3 linked regions of the Astyanax mexicanus genome follow. The protein of the gene in region 3 purifies or fractionates together with the protein of the main gene of each other region. This does not show direct contact. Links are inferred from orthologs where the notes say so. Each region holds a gene or a part of one and is shown on either strand. Other genes may lie near its edges.

What was found.
Region 1: the proteins of nfkbib (region 3) and nfkb1 purify together in Homo sapiens (affinity purification with mass spectrometry; 7 studies listed by BioGRID and IntAct, counting the BioPlex papers as one, with this or other methods). This does not show direct contact. The link is inferred for Astyanax mexicanus from reciprocal best matches to the Homo sapiens genes NFKBIB and NFKB1.
Region 2: the proteins of nfkbib (region 3) and polr1e purify together in Homo sapiens (affinity purification with mass spectrometry; 3 studies listed by BioGRID and IntAct, counting the BioPlex papers as one, with this or other methods). This does not show direct contact. The link is inferred for Astyanax mexicanus from reciprocal best matches to the Homo sapiens genes NFKBIB and POLR1E.

What each region holds. Positions count from the first base shown.
Region 1 is NC_064426.1:2,198,907-2,206,109, reverse strand, and holds the start of nfkb1 (nuclear factor NF-kappa-B p105 subunit), read right to left. Parts: upstream 3,008-7,203; 5' UTR 2,737-3,007; intron 1-2,736. Other genes in the region: ube2d2l (ubiquitin-conjugating enzyme E2D 2 (UBC4/5 homolog, yeast), like), read right to left, coding at 6,061-6,109, 6,730-6,823, 6,930-7,035.
Region 2 is NC_064432.1:23,894,337-23,901,584, forward strand, and holds the start of polr1e (DNA-directed RNA polymerase I subunit RPA49), read right to left. Parts: upstream 3,022-7,248; 5' UTR 2,974-3,021; coding exon 2,913-2,973; intron 1,955-2,912; coding exon 1,851-1,954; intron 1,752-1,850; coding exon 1,675-1,751; intron 1,450-1,674; coding exon 1,364-1,449; intron 1,115-1,363; coding exon 1,062-1,114; intron 147-1,061; coding exon 2-146; intron 1-1. Other genes in the region: tmem192 (transmembrane protein 192), read left to right, coding at 3,819-3,848, 5,458-5,610, 5,974-6,235, 6,964-7,101. UniProt on the Homo sapiens protein: Component of RNA polymerase I (Pol I), a DNA-dependent RNA polymerase which synthesizes ribosomal RNA precursors using the four ribonucleoside triphosphates as substrates.
Region 3 is NC_064408.1:33,211,263-33,218,827, forward strand, and holds the start of nfkbib (NF-kappa-B inhibitor beta), read right to left. Parts: upstream 3,002-7,565; 5' UTR 2,516-3,001; coding exon 2,046-2,515; intron 822-2,045; coding exon 704-821; intron 1-703. UniProt on the Homo sapiens protein: Inhibits NF-kappa-B by complexing with and trapping it in the cytoplasm.

The sequences.
Region 1 (7,203 bases), on a different chromosome or scaffold from region 3:
AACCAAATGTTTTCAATCAACCAATCATCCAATTAACTGAACTCAGGTATTCCAATCACTTGCATGGCCACAGGTGTGAATAAAAAAAAATAATGAAAGAATGGGTTGCTCTCAGAAGCTCAGTGAACGCACTGTGGTACCGTGTGATAGGATGCAGCACCTGTGCAACAACAAGTCCAGTCGTGAAATTTTACTACTAAACTCACTACTAAATATTCCAAAGCCAACTGTCAGTGATATTTTAATAAAGTGGAAGAGACTGGGAATGACAGCGACTCGAGTCCATCACTACAGACCTTTAAACGTCATGTAGCTTCAGATCAGATCAAGAACAATAGACCGTAGAAAGACTCATGGAATGGAGAGTTCAAATGTCAGAGCATTAATATGAGATATTTTAGGCAGCAAGTAAACAATCAACCCCTAAAACTGACTGTGAGAAGACTTTCAGAAGATCCAGGCTAGGGTTGCACGATATTAGAGAGAAAAAACTGACATTGTAATATTTTGCTTATCTGCAATTCATACTGGCATGTTCTCCTCCACCAGTCTTACACACTGCTTTTGGATAACTTTATGCTGCTTTACTCCTGGTGTGAACATTTAAGCAGTTCAGTTTGGTGGTTTGATGGTTTGTGTTCATCCATCTTCCTCTTGATTATATTCCAGAGGTTTTCAATTTGGTAAAATCAAAGAAAGTTTAAGTGGTCTCTTATTTGTTTTCCAGAGCTGTATATTGTTTGTATTAACCTTTACTTACATTACATATGTATATATCGTGTTTGTATTGTTGTTGTTTTGTAGAAAGGGACATTTAAATGTACTAATTATAAATGTGCATTAATATTAATTATATATTATGGAAGAACTTTTAAATGAAAGATTAAAGGTTGCTTTTCCATCATACAGTCAAAAATTGAAGGTTTATTCAACTTTCTTGCTATCAGTGTTGTTTGAGGCTTCATACTAACTTATATAGTATAGAGTAAAATAAAATAAGCCGTATAGAACTTACAGCTGAAAATAATAATAAAAACCTAAAAAAGGTTAAAGCTAAGCTCTGACAGGGAGTAGAAATAACAGCTAGCTAATTTACAGTGAGTGCACTTTCACAGCCCTGTAATTATATTTAAAATAATCTTTCTCTTTATTGAACATTATTTAACCAATATATATATATATATATATATATATATATATATATATATATATATATATATATATATATATATATATATATATATATCATATTATATTTTTATTCAGTCTGTTAACTAAAGCTGAAGCGGCTGAGCTGTAAAAACACGGTCAAAGCCTCGAATTAATGAGCTAATGTTAGTTAGCATGCTAAGCTAAGCTAGGCTAAACCTAAGCTAAGCTAAAGCCCTCAGTCTGTGTGTGGAAATGGGAAGTAGCAGAGCGAAGTTCAGCTAAATCAGCTAAATCCAACTTCATTTTCTGAGATTGTGGTCGGATTTCGCCGCAACTTTAACCCGCTGTCGTGTAGGAAACTTATATTAAGTTTATACGGTTTAAAAGTGCTAAATTAAGTGTTTTAACAGCACTGGGACTCGGAGTTAACAAGCCAACAAGTCGGCAAGTCAACAAAATACCCAGACTCTCAGTTTGAGTCAGTTTCAGTCAGTTTAAGATGCTGAGCAGCCTCTGATATTTCATATTCTTAATTAATATACTGGGATTTTATTGAGAAATGAAATGACTAACACATACGAGTGTAAACTTGTGGTTTTATTTGTTTAAACACATCAATAACAAGACCATGTTCTTCAGTTCAGCTTCGTCTGATAGTGCTGAGAGTGGGCTGCGTCCCAAATCCCACCACTACCTAACCTATAGTAGTGCTGCACTATTGACTAGTGCCTTATAACACTTTAAAACTGTGGGCTGTATCCCGATCCCACCACTAGACGCTTTGGACGCAGCCCAAAGCTAAAAGCCATCCAAAATTTGATTTATTACAGTGACATTTGTAAGACTTAAGACTTTAAAACAGTGGGCTGTATCCCGAATATCACCACTAGCTAACTAGATAGCTCCACTAGCTAACGGTGTTGAATTAACTTGCTTTGATATACTCTGCAAACTACTGGTATAGTTATCTAGCTAGGTGTGTAAGAGTGCTTATTTGAACGCAGCCGAATGATACCTACCTACAAAGACATCCAAATAAAACAAAAGCAGATTAATCTTAGGGACATTTATTTAAAATATCTCAAAATCAACCACTAGCCAGCTATACTACTACTCATGCTCCATTGACTGTATAGTCTGCAAACTTAAGTTAGCTAACTAGCTAAGTAACTAGTGAGGTAGAGTACTTATTTGGACACAGCCCAAAACTACCTACAAAGTCATCCAAATGAAACAAAAGCGGATTTATTATTATAGGGAAATCTTAAGACTTAATGATTTGAAAGTGTTATAGAGCGCATAATGTGGGTTAATTCCCCACTATTAATATATTAAAACGTATCTCAGATTAGATAGATTAGTAATATCTTAAAAGTAATATTTTTAATGAATGTTGTGAATGGTTAGAGTTAATAACTATACTATGAGCAGTTAGGTAGTTAGGCAATAGTTGGTGTTCTATATAAGGATATATATATGTAGAGCAGATATAAGTGTCAGTGTTTATATGACATAAACAGCAGTAAAACAGCAGTAAAGTGTGTGTAGACTGTAGAGTGCAGTGTGTGGAGCTCAGTCCGCTACCTGTGCTGGTGTGTCTGGCCGCTCCACATGTGCTGTCAGTCCGCAGAGAGAGCTCAGGCAGGCGGGTAAGGAGCCATGCAGCCCCGCGGGTGGCGCAGAGCTCCGGCCGGGCGGGCGTTCGGCTGGGTGCGGAGGAGAGGCTCGGGCGCAGTGCGGGTGAATTATCCGGCGGATCGGAGGCGATATCGAGTTAATGGTCGCCGCTCGAGCGCGGATCGATCTGTTTGTAAAGAAAAGTTCACTTCCTTACTGGAAATTCCCTGTGACGTAACGCAACTTCTCCTCCAGCAAAGCCGGCCGCTGCGGGGGCGACACCTGCTGGTCAAACCCGGTAATTACCGTCTTATTGAATTGTGTAATAATACAGTGTGTACAAACACTGCTATAAAAATATTGTCATTTAAAGCATTTGATTTATTTGCAGAAAATGTAAAATGTTATAATAATGGACATCAGGTATTTTCTTTATTTTTAAATATTTTGTTGCACTTCACACTATTTGAGAGATGTTATTCATCAGAATAGACCATAAAACACCCAATCAACAAGTTTATAAATCAATGAAAGAGTAACTACGGCCTATTTACTGCAAAAACACTGGAAAAACTGAAGTACTAGAGCCATTATGGCAAAGTAACAGCAAATTTCTACTAATTTTAATGTGATTTATAACACTTTTTAATCATGTTTTTTCATGTTTAGGGATGCTTTATGAAATAAAAAGAGCAATATAAAAATATAAAATATCACACACAGGCTTCCAATGCAGGGAAACAAAAAAATTGGATTAATTTGCTATATAGATTTTATAGTAGAATATTAGAGTCAGAAAACAGCATTCTTATTAAGCCATGGGAACGGGATCCTAATGCTTGGGAACGAGATAAATAAGGCATGTGAATGAGATCATGGCCATGACTGATTATGGTGTGGGATTGAGATAATTAATTCATAGCCAGAAAATAATAAAACTTGCTGTTCTATAAATGAATGCACATAAAGAAACTGAATATTTTTATAAATAAATACAATTATAAATAAATACCCAAATAATTATTATTTTTTTAATATTGCAATCCCACACAAAGTATTACAAGACTACTTAAAGTTAATGCATGCAGTAAAGACGACACCACTCTTAAATCAGTACTTTTACCAACTTTATTGAGAAAACAAATGAACAGCTAGTGGAGCTATTAGTTGACCGGTCATCCGTCAGGAGCGTCCAATCATAAATTCAGTGCAACAAGCCAACAGTGTGGAGGAGGAAGGCAGATGAACTAATAGCTCCTCGTTCTATAAACGACAGGGGGAAGAAATGAAACAGCCAGGAAAACGGAGTAACAAAATAAAAGTTCTCAAGTGGACACGTGTGTTTAACACTGTTTTCTCAGCAGACGGCTGACCCATTCACGGTTATTATCCTAACGACATGCATAAAATAGATCTTATATTCTTCAGAACTGCTGATGGAACCATGGGGCCGGTTCTGCCCGTGGCGAGTCAGTCAGAAGCAGGAGGAGTATAGTTCACAGACTGGATCATTGCTATTGTAAAAGCATTTTTTCATATATAAAAAAGTGAAGGCCAACCCAGTGACAGATTGTTCACAAAAGGACCATTATTTAATCTATTCATTTATTTATTTATTCATTATATATTTATACATATAGATTTTTTTTATCGTTATAGCACCTCCAGTATGTGGCGTGAGATAAAAGCGCTTGATACTCTTATTTATTTGCTTTATGTCTTTGTTTTATTACACCTGGTTACAGAGTGGGCGGGGTCCTCGACGATACACATGCTTCGTAGTTCAGACCCGAGAGCGTTTTACAAAAGATGGACAGAGCGTGATCTCGCCGTGACGTCCTCTCGCTCGCAGCGCAGGACACTTTAACAGGGACAGAAAACAACTAAACAAAATCACTGGTTTGGTTGGAGATGAGGTGGGGGTGGTGGAGGCTGGTGGGGGTGGAGGGGAAGTGCCAGATCGTTGAGAAGGTGGGAGAAGGGGGCTATAATGCAGATCTGTTGGGGTGAGATTCCGTCAGGTATCACATGGCGTATTTCTGAGTCCATTCCCGAGCTATTCTGTTATACCTGAGAGAGAGAGAGAGAGAGAGAGAGAGGGAGGGAGAGAGAGAGAGAGAGAGAGAGAGGGAGAGAGAGAGAGAGAGAGAGAGACTGCATTAAACCACTGTAAATATATTCCTAAATAAACTTTATGTAAATGTTTTAATTGCTGTTTTTCATAAAGTTATTCACTCATTAGCTTTTGTCATGACTTATCATCATTAGTCACTCTATTATTTGCATTGGCAACTTGTTGACAGCTGTTATTTACAATTCATGCTGATAAAACTACTTGAATTCCAACATTCGAGAGAGAGAGAGAAAGAGAATACCAACAGATACATAACTAAAACTATTTGAATTCAAGAGATAGATAGATAGAGAGAATACCAACAAACTAAACTACTAAACTATCTGAATTCATGAGAGAAAGAATATCAAGAGAAAGATAACAAAAACTACTTGAATTCAAGAAAGAAAGATTCAAGAAAGAGAGAAAGAATGCGAGAGAGACAGAGGAAAAAATACCAATAGAAACATACATAAAACTACATGAATTCAAGAAAGAGAGATAGAGAAAGAGAGAAACACCAATTGAATTCAAGAGACAGAGATATAAAGAAAGAGAGAGAGATAAATACCAATAAAAAAACTAAACCTATAATTCTAATAAACTTTAATTCAAGAGAGAAAGATGATGAAGAAGAGAGAAAGAGAGAGAGAGAGAGAGAGAGAGAGAGAGAGGAGATAGACCCACTGAACAATAAGTAGACAGACAGACAGATTACTTATGTGTTCTTTCATAGTCTGATAGATCACTTCACTATTCATTTACTATGTAGGAACAAAAACGCCTGTATATGGAGAGGAACAAGCAAGTAAGAGAGGAAGTAAAAGAGAGAAAGAGAAAGAGAGAGAGAGAGATTGATTAACAGTGGTGCTGAGGAGTGCTAATGTAACGATAGTGTCGCATGCTGGGCAAGCGAGCACTGCTCTGCCAACTGTGCCCATGCCAACACACACACACACACACACACACACACACACACACACACACACACACACACACACACACACACACACACACACACACACACACACACACACACACACACAAAAACAGCAAGGTCAAAGCTGAAAGCATTCTGCCTCTGTTTTACACACCGTCCTCATCTCTCCTAATGCTGAACACCATCTGCATAACACGCTTACACACACCAGCACTTCCCACAATGCCCGGCCTTACCCCTACAGTGTGGCATACTTCTCTGTCCACTCTCTGGCCAGTCTATTATACCTGAGGGAGGGAAAGCGGCCCAGCTCATCAGTGAGACCCCCACTGAGATCAGGGCAGGGCTGGAACACTATATCGATATTGTGATATATTGCATTGTTTCGATTGTATCGTATCGTACCGTATCAACAAGTGGCGTCTTGCATGCATATTTTATTAAAACAGGCGCATTAAAGTCCCCAAATCTCGCCCACCGATTAGACTTACTAAAGTTACTGCTTTATTACTCCACATGGTGGCGCTATAATCAAATGAATAGGGTCATTAAACCTGTGGTGAAGAAAATTGGTTGTTAAATTCTGTGAAACTGACGCAAATAAATCCGTAATTCCTGGTATTTGCTTATTTAAGAGTGTTTTATCCTCTTCAGTAATACATATGCCTTGTAACACATTGAGTATCACAGTATTATAAAAATATCACAATTCACTGAACATGATAACGATATAAGGATATCGTTTTGTAAAATGCCGCTTTTAAATCTGTTTGTTTTCCGATTATCCAATTCATATGAACACGTCAATTATTGAATAAAGCAGATTACTGACTAACTCTGTTCTGTAAATGCATTCAATATTGATTATTCTCACTTAAAAAAACACAATATATGATACGATACTTACTTTTCATTGTCTGTTTTATATATGCGAGCTATCTCTGGCACTAGCGGGTCGTCTGGGTTGGGGTCACATAACAGAGAGCAGATGGACAAGAGAACTGCAGGAAGAATCAAACACCATCATTATTCACAGCAACCACCAAAACACTTTAAAACACAGTCCTCCTCATGTACTGTTTTACTGTTCAGTGTGAAGGGGCTTACCTTTAGAAATAGTTAATGCTGGTGACCACTGCGATCTTAGAATATCCAAACAGATGCTGCCATTACTGTTAATATTTGGGTGATAAATTCTTGTGGTGAAAGCAACCTGCAGAGAAGAGGGAGAGAATGACAGATTACTGATACAAACTGAATTAAGTGTTATACATCCACACAAAATCAAATGCAAAAGAAATGCAAATGAAAAATACTCTAATGATTTTAAAGTAGGATCAAAAATGTTAATAATTCTGGCATAGCATGATTGACTGTTTAT
Region 2 (7,248 bases), on a different chromosome or scaffold from region 3:
CCCTCCAGTCCTTTCTGGTTGATGACGCTCCCGGCTGCTCGGTCCACCGCCTTCTGCAGCGTCTCGTTCCCGACCTCGTTCAGCCGCCGCAAGCTCAGAGCTCGCTTCTGCTTCGTCGTACCGAACGCCTCGATCAGAGCGTCCACCTGCAACCAACCAATATTGGGACACTTTTTACCTACAGAACCGTAAAGCCTGCTCTATTCTAAACCTTTATATGGAACCAATCCCCCTTTAAATCTCTATTCTAAACCTCCTGCCTGCAGGGAATCAGCCCTGTCCTTTTACTCTAGCACACTTTTTTCTCTTTCTTTTCTTTCTGTTTTCTCTATCTAAATCACGATTTTACATATTGGGTCCACCCCATGCCATGACATGCAGCCACTGCCGGTCGCAGCTGGTCTGAATCAGGACTGATTGAGCAGCCCGCTGTTCGATAGGTAGCACAACTCGACAGAAAACCGAAATACAGACTCAGCCCTCAGGTGACTACAGGTCGCTACAGGTGAGAGGAAGGCTAAGGCAGAACGGACCCTTAAAAGATTGAAAGTCACAAATTAAGAGACTAGAGCCCCACTGGGTCAGTGGAGTGACTGCCCGGTGCCTCCTGACTACCCATCACGGTGGCCACGCCCCCATCCCTTTTTAATCTAAAATATCTGAAAACGCTACTGATTTCTGAAGTGGTTCTCCATCTTACCTGATAACCGGCGCCTCCCACAGACTTAACATAACATATTAAAATATTTTTTAAACAGGACTGAGCTCGTACTTATATATATATATATATATATATATTTTTTTTTTTTTTTTTTTTTTTTAGGGTAAACATAGTTTTGAACCATTTCTTTGTCATTTGTTTTACATTTTTAGTAGGGGGTGAACAAAATAGATTATATTCGAAAATCGGATTTTTGGGGAAAAGATCATTTTTAGGCCATATTAAAGGCGTGGACCTGTTTTCCTCTGTAAAGCTGCTTTGTAACAACTTTTGTTGTAAAAAGCGCTATACATAAAAAAAATAATAATAAAAATGTAATTGAATTGCATTGTAGACTCACCTTGTCTCTGTAGGTCTTGGTCTCGTTTTTATCAGCGTCTGCTGCTGTTTCTCCTGAGAAAATGAAACAGTCCTGTTATTTTTCCAATCCAAATACTTTTCCTTCCTAATACTTAATGACATTTTCAATTATTCATTTGCCAATGATAAGATTAAAAAAAAAAAAAACATTTCAGCACTAAAAAAAAAACAAACTCTAAAGACTTTTAAATGGTCGAGCAAGCATCAGACAGTACACTCTCTCTCCCAGTGAAGATCATCTAAACACTACAGGTGTGTGTAAGGTGTTTGAGAGGTGTGTACCTGGTATACTGGGCAGCAAGTTGAAGAGTTGAGCATTATGAACCTTCATCTCCATCGTCCTTTTATCCAGCACTCCCACAAAATACCTACAGAATAAAAGTCCATTCAGTAACTTACCTAATTATATTACATATACTAGTGCATCTAAAAAAAAAAAATCACTTCATGCTTCCCTCTGCTGACAACATTTATGGAAATGCGGATTTCATTTTCCAGCAGGACTAGCCACGCTTTTAAAAAGTACCAATTGGTCTTATATAATATTCTAATTTTACTCTTAAACACATGTTTTAACCTTTAACTCCACCTACCTGCACAGATTGTTGCACTGTAAGGATCCGGGTCCGAAGTTATTCCCAACGTACGCCAGCCTGTCTGACTCTGCAGCCTAAACACACATACAGTACATATATATTTATATATTAATACAGCTGCGTGTGTGTGTGTGTTTAGTGCTGTAAATGAAATGTAGAATCTGTGTATTTACGATGATCCGGCGGCGCTTCTTCCTCGGGTTTGATTCGTCCACATGTTTAAAGAGTCTGAAGTCCAGCTGCTCAGAGTTCTTCACCTCTCCATTAGAGAACTTCACTGCAAACACAGAACAGAGAGGAGAACACAGAGTGGGAATTAAACTGTATTTAAAATAATGTAAAAATAGTTTAGCAGTTTAAATCATCACTGAATTACTAATGAGCTAAATAATCATTATTAAATGTAAACCATTATTATAAGATGATAAATCTGAAAAACATCCTATAATTAGGAGAAAGAATAATTGCAATACCTTTAAAATATGTATACAAATATGCAAAGCATGTTAATCAAACCTAGGAAAAAAATTTGAAAAATCAAGTGAAATTGTTATCAAATGACTCCATTAAATTCTTTTCTATACTATTAATGGTATAAGTATTGTCTGCTATTACTGTAGTGTTTTGGACTAATGTAAGGTCAAACTTATCTATTAATAATAAAATCTACTAAAATATCTATTTTCTTTTGCATAAACCAGATTTTGGAGTCTTACAAAACCAGCAAATCAAACTGTTATCAAATGATACCATTAAAGTCTCATGGACGCTTTTCTATGCTATTATTGGTTTAAGTTTCCTGTGATATTATTGTAGTATTTTGGAATAATTGGAGATCAAACTTAAGAAAAATATCTATTGGGTTTTGCATAAATCAGATTTTGGAGTCCTATAAAACCAGCCAATCAAACTGCAATCAAATGATACCATTAAAGTCTCATATATGCTTTTCTATAATATTAATGGTTTAAGTTTCCAGTGATATTATTGTAGTACTTTGGAGTAACAGCAGGTCAAACTTGGGAAAAAGGTCTAATCAATTAATATATTGTTTATGCTGATTCTGAACCGATACAGGAGCTACAGCTGCAGCACGTGGGTAAGAAACAGTAATAATAATCTGTTTATCTCAAACACAGAGCGTTCCTGCTGCAGATTAAAGCAGTAATAACTATAGTTAAAGTTTATATTAGAGATATATGAGTTTATAACAGAGATATGAGGGTTTAAATCACCGATCACTGCGTCCTCCTGCCCGCTCGTATTACACGCTGTCCACGCACAGGGCGCCGCCATGCTGTAGTGAGGGTTGCCAGGTCCAACAAAAATATCCAACCCAAAAGTCAGTCTAAAACCCGCCCTTCAGAAGCTTAAAACCAGCCCATAATATATGTCTGTCACACGTTTAAAGCAAAAGGCAAAACAACTATGAGTGAACGACTTAGTATTTTGTTTATAAGGGATTTATTACCAGTATTGCCATATATCTAAATAATAGTCATTAATTATATTGTGACATCAGTGTTGTATTAGTTATTTTATAACATGTTTTAAATATCATCATCAGTCATTTAATAGTAATATAATTAGCTAAAAACGGACTTTTAATTACTCTTTTCTGTATTCGCCCCTCCTGAACTCTCTTCTCTTCTCTTTAACATTTATTTTTTCATTGCCTTGTGATTTCTGGTTACATTGTACATTGTTTCTATTTCTAAATAGTAGAGTTTGGCTATGAACATTTATTAACTTGACTTTTTCCCTTTACTGTTTTCCAAAAATCTGATCTGAAAATTCTCAGTTAAATATGCTATTAAGAATTTGAATATATTTTTTTATTATTGTATATTAATAATATTATTATTAATGCTGTTTTGTTGTATGATAAGAATATATATATAGAAGAAACCATAAATATAAACGTGAATAGAAAAAAGGGCGTGGTAGTGGTAGTATTTTAAAGGACAAATTAGACGAAAAAGACTTTTAATTTGACGGGTGTCAGCAGCTCCCTGGTAGCGGAAGTAGAATGTGTGGTGTTTTGAAGCTGGTGTATAAATGTTGAGTAATAAACTGTTTATATGATTTTATTTGTAATTTAGTAGAGTTTAGAGAGTTTAATAAACTACAGCAGCTTTATTATGGGCTCTAAGCGACCCGCAGCTCCTCAGGTGAGATTTAAACCTGTGTGTTTGGGTTATTCTGGTGTAAATAATGCACTAACAACTAATTGTATTTATATTGTTTATATTGTTGTGTTTTTTATTATTTTTATTTATGGAGCGTTTTTTAATTGTGTTTAATAATAAAAGCAGAGTTTATTTTACATTTATATGCATATAACTTATATATTTAACAAACAAGCAGTTTATTGGCTCTGTATTTCATAGAGTGTGACTGTTGAGTTATTCAGTTGTTGAATCGTGTATTAATATAGTTAAATCAAGATTTTCTGCTATTTTAGCTGGTTTTAGATTGTTTGCATTGGGTTCTGTTGTGTTATATTGTGTTGCATTGTGTTATATTGTCATCTATTGGGGTTATTTTGGGTTCTGTTGGGTTATATTGTCTTTTATTGTGCTTATATTGAGGTATATTGTGTTTAGATCTATTGTGTTTATATTGAGTTATTTTGGGTTTCATTGTATTTATTTGGTTCTTTTGGGATATATTGTGAATATACTGGGATTTATTGGGTTTTATTGTGTTCTCTTGTTGTTATATTGTGTTTATATCGGGATCTATTGGGATATATTGTCTTTATATTGGGTAATATTGGATTCGATTGTGCTTGTATTCTGTTTATATTGGGTTATATTGTGTTATTCGGATGTATTGCATTCTGTTGCATTTATTGGCTTCTATTGTGATTATTTGGTTCTGTTGGGATATATTGTGTTTTTTGGATCTATTTGGCTAAATTGTGTTTATATTGTGTTTTCTTATTTATGTTGTGTTTGTATTGTTTTATAATGGGATATATTGGGTTACATTATTGTTGTATTGTGTTTATTTTGGGATCGGTTGGGTTATATAGTGTTTATATTTGGGTTTTTGGGTTATATTGTTACTATGTTCTATTGCGTTATATTGTGTTTTAAATTGGGTTCTATTGGATTCTGTTGTGTTTATGTTAAATTATGTTGGGTTATATTGGGTTCTACTTGGTTCCTTTAGAAAAAACGCCTCAGTATTGAATGTGGGCCAAGGTTATTCAGGGTTATTTAGGGTTATAACAATATGTTTTGTGCTGGACCCTGTTTACATGGAACAAATAGATCCTATTCTGTTTTTACCAAACTGTACATTTATATTAGTTTTGTCAAAAAGGTGTACTCTAAAGCCTGTAAAATTTATTTTGGTTTTGATTTGTTTTAATTAGTTTTTAGTCTCTGTCTGGTATTAAACAACCTTAAATGTAATAATTAAATTTCCCCATAACTGCAGATACCCTGTGTATGAGAGCAGGGCTCATAACGGCCTCTCCGTCTTTTTTATAGCTGATTGATACAGTTCTGTCACAATGGGGCCGTTGGTAAAGGTAAAGGTGAGGTGCTGCAGTAGCAGAGCTGTGGGATTGATCTGCTGGACAGTTCTCACTTTTGGGAATAAAGAGTCTGAACGATGATCATTCTCAGCTCTTTTAGAAGCTCCGACTGAAGTGTGGCACATCAAACAGCCTCCATCTAAACACTTCCTACTGCAGCCACACACTTTATACTCTCACTGATCTCCTGTCACTGATCTCCTGTCCTTATGTGTGTGTGTGTGTGTGTGCAGAGTAACCCCAGTACTGATTATACTCAGAGTATAGAGGATGACCCGCTGATGGACGGGCCGCTCATATCTCAGGATGCTCTGGAGTCGGCCATCAGGAGAGAGTTCCAGAAACTTCCCACAGCCTGGATCACCGGATTACTGACTGCAGCACACGTCAGTACACACACACACACACACACACACACACAAGTGTGATTTAAAAACCAGGGTTATTCCACCAAATATTTATTTCTGAACTCTTAAAACTTTATGAAAATGAACATGTTTTCTTTGCATTATTTGAGCCATTATTTAATTATTTCAGCCATTTCTCAGTTTCTGCAAATAAATGCTCTAAATGACAATATTTTTATTTGGAATTTGGGAGAAATGTTGTGCGTACTTTATGGAATAAAACAACAAAGTTCATTTTGTTCAAACATATACTCAAACATGAGACATTTATTCTGTGATAAGTAACCAGTTGTTGAATCTGTAAGTGTGTATGATGTGTGTGATCACTGTGTGTGTCCTCAGGTTGCGTATGTGAGCGTGAGCGTGGTGCTGGCGGTTCTGTGCTGGTTGGCGGAGGATCACTCGGAGCAGTGTAACGCAGTGCTGAACGGGGTGGACTCTCAGACCGTGGTGCTGCTGGGGAAGGTGGGGCTGTGGCTGCTGGTGTTCGGGTTCGAGTGGTGTGTGAACCACCACCACACTACAGCCAGGAGGAGAGGATACCTGCAGTTCTACAGAGCCAATCAGGACCTCAAACGCCTGCCCCTGTTCATACACTCTGCAGGTACTGACCCACACACTGCAAGATCCCAGAAATCCTCCAGGAGGCAGCATTTCCCATCACTCTCTTAATACACTGCATTTACACTCAGTTTAATACAGCACAGCTCTAATTCTGACCAATACACTTCATTTACACTCAGTTTAATACACTACAGCTCTAATTCTGACCAATACACTTCATTTACACTCAGTCTAATACAGTACAGCTTTAATTCTGACCAATGCACTTCATTTACACACAGTTTAATACAGTACAGCTCTAATTATGACCAATACACTGCATTTACACTCAGTTTAATACAGTACAGCTCTAATTCTGACCAATACACTTCATTTACACTCAGTCTAATACAGTACAGCTTTAATTCTGACCAATGCACTTCATTTACACACAGTTTAATACAGTACAGATCTAATTCTGAAAAATACACTTCATTTACACTCAGTTTAATACAGTACAGCTCTAATTCTGACCAATACACTTCATTTTCACTCAGTTTAGTTTAGTACAGTGAAGTAACATTCAGTTGAATCCAGTTTAATTTCAATTCATTTCAAATACAGTGCAGCCAAATCCAGTTTAATCCAGTTCAACTCCACTTAAGTTGAATACAGTTCAGCTCCATTCAGTTTAATGCTGTTAAACTCCTCCCTTTTCTCTGCTGTTCTCTTTATCTCTCCTTTCTTGTCCTTTATTACCCCTCGCTGTCTCTCTCGCTCTCTCCGCAGGTAATGCGGCGCTGCTGGTGGTGATTGGCCCCGCCCCCCTGCTGGACAAGAAAGTGAAGAATCTCTCTGTTTATCTCCTGCTGTGCATCATCTGTCTGGAGCTGCTCTTCACTCTCATATGCCTGATCGTATACACAGGTACATCCAGCAGCCCTGACTCACTCACTCGCTGCCTAAACACTCCCACTCCTTCCCTCACTCCATTCCTTCTTACACACTCTCACTTACTCCCTTCCTCACTACACACTCCCTCAATCTCCTCCTCCCTACACACTCCCTCACTCC
Region 3 (7,565 bases):
ATATATTTAATAATACAAGTGTAATTTGTAACTTCGTCTGATTGTAGCAAATATCTTTTAAACAAATAAAAGATAAATATGCAATTCAGTGCAACTGCTGTGTATTAGTTTCTCCACAAGGTTATTAGCACTCAGTTAGTTTAGCATGTACCATTAGCAATGAAGTAAGACTCCAAAATCCTCCTGTGAATGCCCACAACAATATGCTGTTTCTCAATAAATAGACACTGTTTTCGACATTAGTTCAGTTACACAAATATACTACATAGAAACTGGTGTTCCCTGAATTTTGTGTTACTTTATTTATTTGATGTTTTTTGCTACTCGAAGCTAGCTTTTTTTTTTGGACATTCCCACACCAGCTAGCCATCTATATGCATGCGATCCTTAAACAGAAGAATTTTAGCATTTGTATGAGGTACAGGGACTTAAAGAAAATCATATTTACAGTTTTCGGAGTGCTGTTTTTTTTCTTCCTTTTTTACATTTTCAGATTTTGTTTCATGTTTATATCTGAATTCTGCTTTTTTGATAGGGCCCTACTAGTAATCTGCTGATATAAATACATAAACATTTGTAGATTGTAGAAATTTAGGTTATTTCTATATTTTTAATTCTGTAATTCTCAAGCAGATATGTACTATGCAAATATCATGCTGCCCTAATGTGTGTGTGTTTGTGTGTGTGTGTATTTCCAGCTGACCTGTCCCAGATCATTCTGAATGTCCAGGTATGGGGTCCAGGTGTGGTTGTGGGAGATGAGCTCCAGCAGGTATTGCACAAATCCCCACTGCTCGTGGATCAGCGCCAGGTGTAGTGCACTGCCAGAACAGGAAAAGGTCAAAAAGGTCAGCAGACATAAAACAGCAGTAGCAGGAAAGACCCAGAAAAGACCCAAAGAGCCCAACTAATGTTCCAGGTGGTCTCTTTCACCCAGCTTAGTACCTAAACCCAGACAGATTGTTTAATAACAGCTGTATTAATTTTTATATGACACTTTTTACACCTCCCAGAATTAAACAGGGCTGGGTTAACCAAAGCATTATGGCACAAAGGCAGTTCTTAAATGTTCATGCAAGCATCACAATGAGAACTTGCTCTACCAATTAAGATAATCTTGACCCTATAGACATTCTCACACTACAGTTTTTTTTTCCTAGGCCTAGAACTGCTTCCTAAGCCAAACTGATATATTAAACACCTATTGAGCTGTGGATGGAACAGTATGTTTGCGAACTATGTATACTGCACCACAATCTTGTTTTATTATTATTCAGATCTATATTTACTTAGGTAATCTAATATTGATTCATATAAACTGGCAGTGTGAATTGATTCAAAATTTTATTCACATTAATCAACAATATTCTGTAATTAATCATGATACTATCCTTGTTTTCTTGTAAGGGGGGACAAAAAGCACACTAATGTCAACAATTGACAAAATAAATGACAAAAGAGGAAAACAGTAGCTGTGCTGTGTTTACCACATTTAAAACTGCTAAAACAAATACACTGCAAGGCTCTGTAAAAAATACTGTATATATCACAATAATGTCTACCACATTACACCTTATACAAAAATGTTATACTATTATATTATCTTTATATCAGAGGCATTTTAAAAAGAAAATAATTTTGTTTATTTCAATTATTTCTGCCACAATATACCTTCTACTTTTTATGTGACAGACCTGGCTGATAACAATAATAATAACAATAATAATAACAATAAACCTTTTTCTTATCAAAGCTTTTTTTAATTTTTAAGTGAAATATCCCTAAATAAATATCGAATCAAATTCGACTTGTGAACCGGAATCGAATCGATTCATATTCAAATCAGTGCTGATACCCAGCCCTAGTATTGGCCTTTTACACCTCTGGTGAAACGTGCCAGGTTGTCCAGTCTGTTATGCAATAGTGGTCTCAACGCACACTTTACATTTAGATTAACAGGTTAAACATTTTATCGTCTTTAACAGCGCTGATTATGAATAATTAAAACATCGTGATCTAACTTAGCTTATAGAAAAGTTTCTTACGTGTCTCCGTCCTCCGACACAAAGCTCAGAGTCCTCCAGAGCTCCTCTTTCCTCTGCTCTTCCTCCCGGGCTCTCTCTTCTCCGTCCCCGGCTCCCGCTGCCTTCTCCTCGGCTTCCCCCGCGAGCAGCACGGTCCTGATCCCGGCCGACAGGCTCTCCACCGCCGCCGCCTCGTCTGTGATGGAGTCCCCGATAGCGGAGTCCAGCCTCTCCCCTCCTCCGCCGCCCAGAGACACGCACTCCCCGCTCTGACTCTCTCCCGCTCCGCCGCAGTCCGCCGGGAACCCGCGGGGCCACGGCAGCTCCAGCACGGGCTCGTTCTCGGCGTCGAGGAAGGAGTCGAGCCCGCTGTCGCACCAGTCCTCAGGGGGGATCTCCGAGCGCCCCTTCCCGGCCCCGGGCTGCCCGTCCTGCTCCCCATAGCCGCCGCTCTGGAGGTCTTGGGAGAACCGTTGGTGCGCCCACTCCATTTATAATCATTTAGCTGGCTATAGCTCCGAGAAAATCAAGCCTCTGTCGTTAATGCCAGCCACTTTCTCCTCCGGATCAAAAACCAAACAAACTACCCGCTGGTTTTAGCTAACGTTACTGTTTACAGAGAGCTCGCCCGCTGTTAGCCACCTAGCGCTAACAAGCTAACCAGCTAACGGGCTAATCGGCTAGCCCGAGTTTAGCTCAGCTCTGGCCGTTTGTTTTCAGGGCCGTTTTTCGTCTGGGATCAAATTCCGCCACAACAACAGCGCCAGGCGCCTCCGCGGCGTGATTCAGCCCCGTTTCCATGTCTCTGTCCGCTCCATATTAAACCCTTCACTCAGCCGTGCGAGCAGCACACCCGCGGCTCCACAGCGGCCAAGTTTCCAGAAAAAGCCTCTCGCCTTTCGCTGGCTGAGTAGGTGATTTCCCGGGGAATTCCCAGCCCGGACCGGTTCGATTGGGGATTTTGTTACACAGGCGTCTCAAATTGCTCCCAGCTCCCTACACCCTACTGCCTATGTAGCACACTTCTGTTCCAATAGGTCACACCACTAGTTACGGTCAGTGTAACGTTTATTAATTGAACTTTCTGACCGTTATAGGCTAAATACAAAGATAGAAAATTGGATGTAAAAACTAAATTAATAACATTTTAAAATGTAGTGCAGTGTACAAGAAATACGTTTTTATCCATGTTTCCAATTTTATTTCTTTTTTTTATCTCAGGAAAATAAAAAAATGGATATTTTCTTTATTTTCTGATTTGTCAATTTTTGCATTTTGCAAGTTGGATTAAACCATCAGATTTGTGTTACAAGACACAAAAATGGACAAATCCAAAAGTCGAGAGAAGATTCATCGTTTTAATTTTCGTGGATGTTTGTTTGTGAAAGGCTGAAATAAAAAAAAGATAAGTGAAAATCTATTTCATCTTCACTATACTGAATGTAAAAAAAATATTAAGTTTTATACCCAATTTTCTATTTTCGAATGTAGCCTGATACAGTCAGAAAATGAAACTGCTAAACGTTACACTGACCAGTTCAACACATTTCATTAAAATTTTATTCAAATTTAATTGGCCCATGCATTAGTTACAGTACTTATAAACACAGTGATCTGTAGTTTTTATAAACATGGTCAGGATTTTGAGTGCAGCATTTTAAACATGTAGAGAAAAACAGCAAGTCATGATTTATTTGAACACTGGTATTTTTGTTATTGCATATTATTGTAATTGTGTGCAATTGTTTAAAAGTTTAGATATTAAACATGTTAGTCAGCATTACTGCATAATGCAATACTCACCACAGATAACAAAAATACTTTTAAACTCTATGTCTGTCTATAAATCTGTCTATCTATTGTTATGTCATTCTATTGTTCCTTCTTTCGTTCTATGGTTCTAATGCTTTGTTGGTAGTTTGTGGGTGTGTTTGTGACATATCTTGTTATAGAACCACAAAAAGTAAGGTAAGACCAGTTTTGTAAATGCAAATAAGAGGAAACACACACAGTTGTTTTAACATCTACTTTGACTTTTTAGACTGCAGACATGTATTGTCTTCACTTCATTTCATTTGTTATTATATATCCATTCCTGCATTTCAGGCCTGTAACCCATTCCAAAAAAAAACAAAAAACAAAGGCAATGTACAAACTACATTTTTAAACATGTTAAAACAGTGTTGTTTACTTCTCACATAAACCAAGCAAATGTGCAATTCTGAGGTATCACCTAAAGAATTACTTCTGCACTTCTGCACTTAGGCTTATATGTGTGATCCCAATCCCATATTGGTAAATGGAAATCCAACACCCAGAAGAGAAGAGTATTTTTGCAGTGTTTATTTAAGGGACTTTTTTTTTTTTTGGTAATCCCCTGCAGGCCACACTGGACTATCAGGCTATAGTCTTGAATGAGCGCACCCTCATTTTCGCAACATCATTGGTCACTGACTCTTTTTGGTTGAAACATCAGATCTATATATATATATATATATATATATATATATATATATATATATATATATATATATATATATATATATATATACAAAATGAGTAGTATTATATGCTTGTTTAGAGTGTATAACAAAAAAAGAGGAGATTGTTGCATGAACAGCAGTTTTATGAATACACCACAAAGAGTGTTGTGAGGCACCATTTAACTTATATCCTCTGCCATTTAGAGAAGAGGAGCTGCTGCAGTAGTTGAAGATGCTTCATTTAAAACATCCACCATTCATCTTCTTTTAGTACTTTGTGGCGGGGAAAACAGCACCACAGTTTCCATATCCAAAGAAATCCACAGAAAGCTGCTGTACCTCATCTTCCACTAGATGGAGCTCAGGAGCTGGAGAACAGCTGCAGCCACTCATTTGTTAGCAGTTAGTCAGGGATACAGGCTAGCACAGCTTTGCTTGGCCAGTAAAGAGTAACGTACCTCATGCAGTAATGAGAACCAAGATTTTAATCTCTCTAACTGGATAATATCACTCCAGAGTGCATCTTTCAGCCCATAAAGTGAGTAGCAGAGCACATAAACACCACTAACCACAAGTACAGCAGCAGAAGCTAGGTTAAAGGAAACACCTTCAAAATAACCTTAGTGCTCTATAGTTTCAAATTTGAGTTCCACAGTACAGTTCTGGATTAATAGATTCTCTCAGCTGGAGCTAAACCAGAGTGTTAGTTTATTGCTGTTATTATTAAAATAATATAATAATATAAATAATATATAAAAAATTAAAATATAGGCTAATTTGAGCCAAAAAATTGTCAGGAAAAAAGGCAATGAGATGGCGGATGTTAGGAAAGGCCCCCTACCTGCAATATTTACATGTATATTTCTCCTGAAACCCATTTATTTACAGTAAGCTTCAAGGTGGCCAACATTATGTGGCATCTAGCTCCGTCGATACCAGTGATTGGCTAATTGAGCTAAGTGGTGAACGGCCCCATCATGTGTTTGCGAGGCTCCTGGGGTTAGCTCTTAGGCTAACATCTTCCCTGACACACAAGCACCGCATTAGTAGTGGTACTGTACTTAAGTACTAAAACACTGTATCTGCATTTACTGAAGTAATATGTTTTTTAAAGAGTTTTAATTCTCTTACTCTGATCATTTTTTATTGTGCTGCATCGTTATTCGTTACAATTATAAAAATGTTACGAATCAATCCAAACAGGCATTATCACTAAAGCAAGAGGGTTATATGCTCTGCAGTGTCACAGGGTTTGATAAAGCTGCTCAACATTAAAAGAATCATTGAGAGATTCAAGTGATTAAGCTGATTTTATAAGAAGACAGCGCTGCTCCTGTTTTGCCTTTTACTCTGCTGCCAGCCTGCATTGAGAACACTTGAGCTTTATTAGTTTGTTTTGAGATGAAAGAACCGGAAACACCACCTCTAGCACCTTCAACTTTCGAATAATAGTGGTGAGGGTAAGAAAGGAGACCACCCCTGGCCCTGCTTAGAGTTCATGTTTTTATTTGTGGGAGTGGGGAAGAGAAGAGAGACATGTTTTAAAGGGGAAAAGGAGAAAATTTATCTTTTTTATATATAAAGGGTTAAGCTCAGTGTTTTAAGATACTCTAATCACTTGTTTTTACGTATTTAACACTTGTATGTGGCATTTGCCTTCTTTAGTGGATTTTACAATAGTTATAAAATATACTAATGTCTTGCTGTCAATTTTCTTTAGCATTTCTTTTGGAAGAGTTTGTTTAGAGAGTTAATTGGAGATGTCATGTGCTTGTATTCTATCTTGTACAGTCCTGTGTTTGTACTGCTGCTACAGCAAAATGTTTTGTGAGTTTTCTTTAGCCTAAACATTTGATGATAAACAATATAAACATTTTTTTTACTGCTTTCTGTAATAACTACACAATAATGACACAGTACTTGTACTTTTATTTTCAGTATTTGAGTAGTACATTTTAAATTAAAGTACTTAAGTAGAAAATTGTTGAATACTTTTGTAGATCAATTTGAACTGTACTGGCAGTTGGGAGTTTTGTTTTTCAGTGTTAACCTACTCCGCACACAGCATGTTGATATATAGGTATATTTTGCACCACCAGATGGCAGAACACACACATGTGAAAGTCTCCATCCTTTTCAAACAAAGGAACATCCTTTCTGAGCATACCCTGATGATGTCATACTCATGGGGATCAGCTCTTCTTCAGGAATATCAGCATCAGGGTATAGCTTATGTTTTGGATGCAGTGCGACACTTTCCTCTTGAATGATGAAAAAAAACAGTTTTCCAACTGTATTGAGCAGATATGCTGGATCATCAGCCTTTCCAGAGATGATTTCCAGTGTGATTTAAGAGCTGGATATTGTGCTTAAAGTGACCATGGTGGTGACCATGAAGGGGGCTGAATCAGGCATGGGAAAATGATTAGTTGGTGGTTTTGTTGATAATGCTGCTGTATAAAATCAATAATAACCATGCGATTTTAGGACAAATGGAAAATGATAAAAAAATATATATATATAGGAAAAATACAGTAACAAACGTTTTCTTCACCTATTTGGTAAAGAAAAAACTAAAAATTAAATAAAAAGAAAAAAAAAAACAATATAACAATGTTCTTTTGGTGATATTTCTAATTTTATTTGTCCAAAAGGTGATCATGACAGGATCTGACATGCCCAGATGGCTCACCTTGACACCATTCCTGGATATCTGTGTCATACATTCTGAAGAATTTAAGATGCTACAAAGATTTTTGAAACAATGCTCTGATAAAACCTTATGATAAAAAGCTGTGAGTGTGAAGAGACCTTTAATTGGTGAATAATCTATCAAATCAAACTAAATTAAAATGAGGGAAAAACAACATACATAGAAATAGAAATAGAAAAACATGCCTCAGTTCCACTGTGTCACAGAGGTGGCATCTATAATTATATTTTTGTCCACTTTACAAAAATGCATTTTAATGTAACCAAAAAGTTTTTTTTAATGATTACAAGTGATCACAGTTGTAGCATCTGTATGTATAAAATGAATGTGTTGTTTATGTACAAC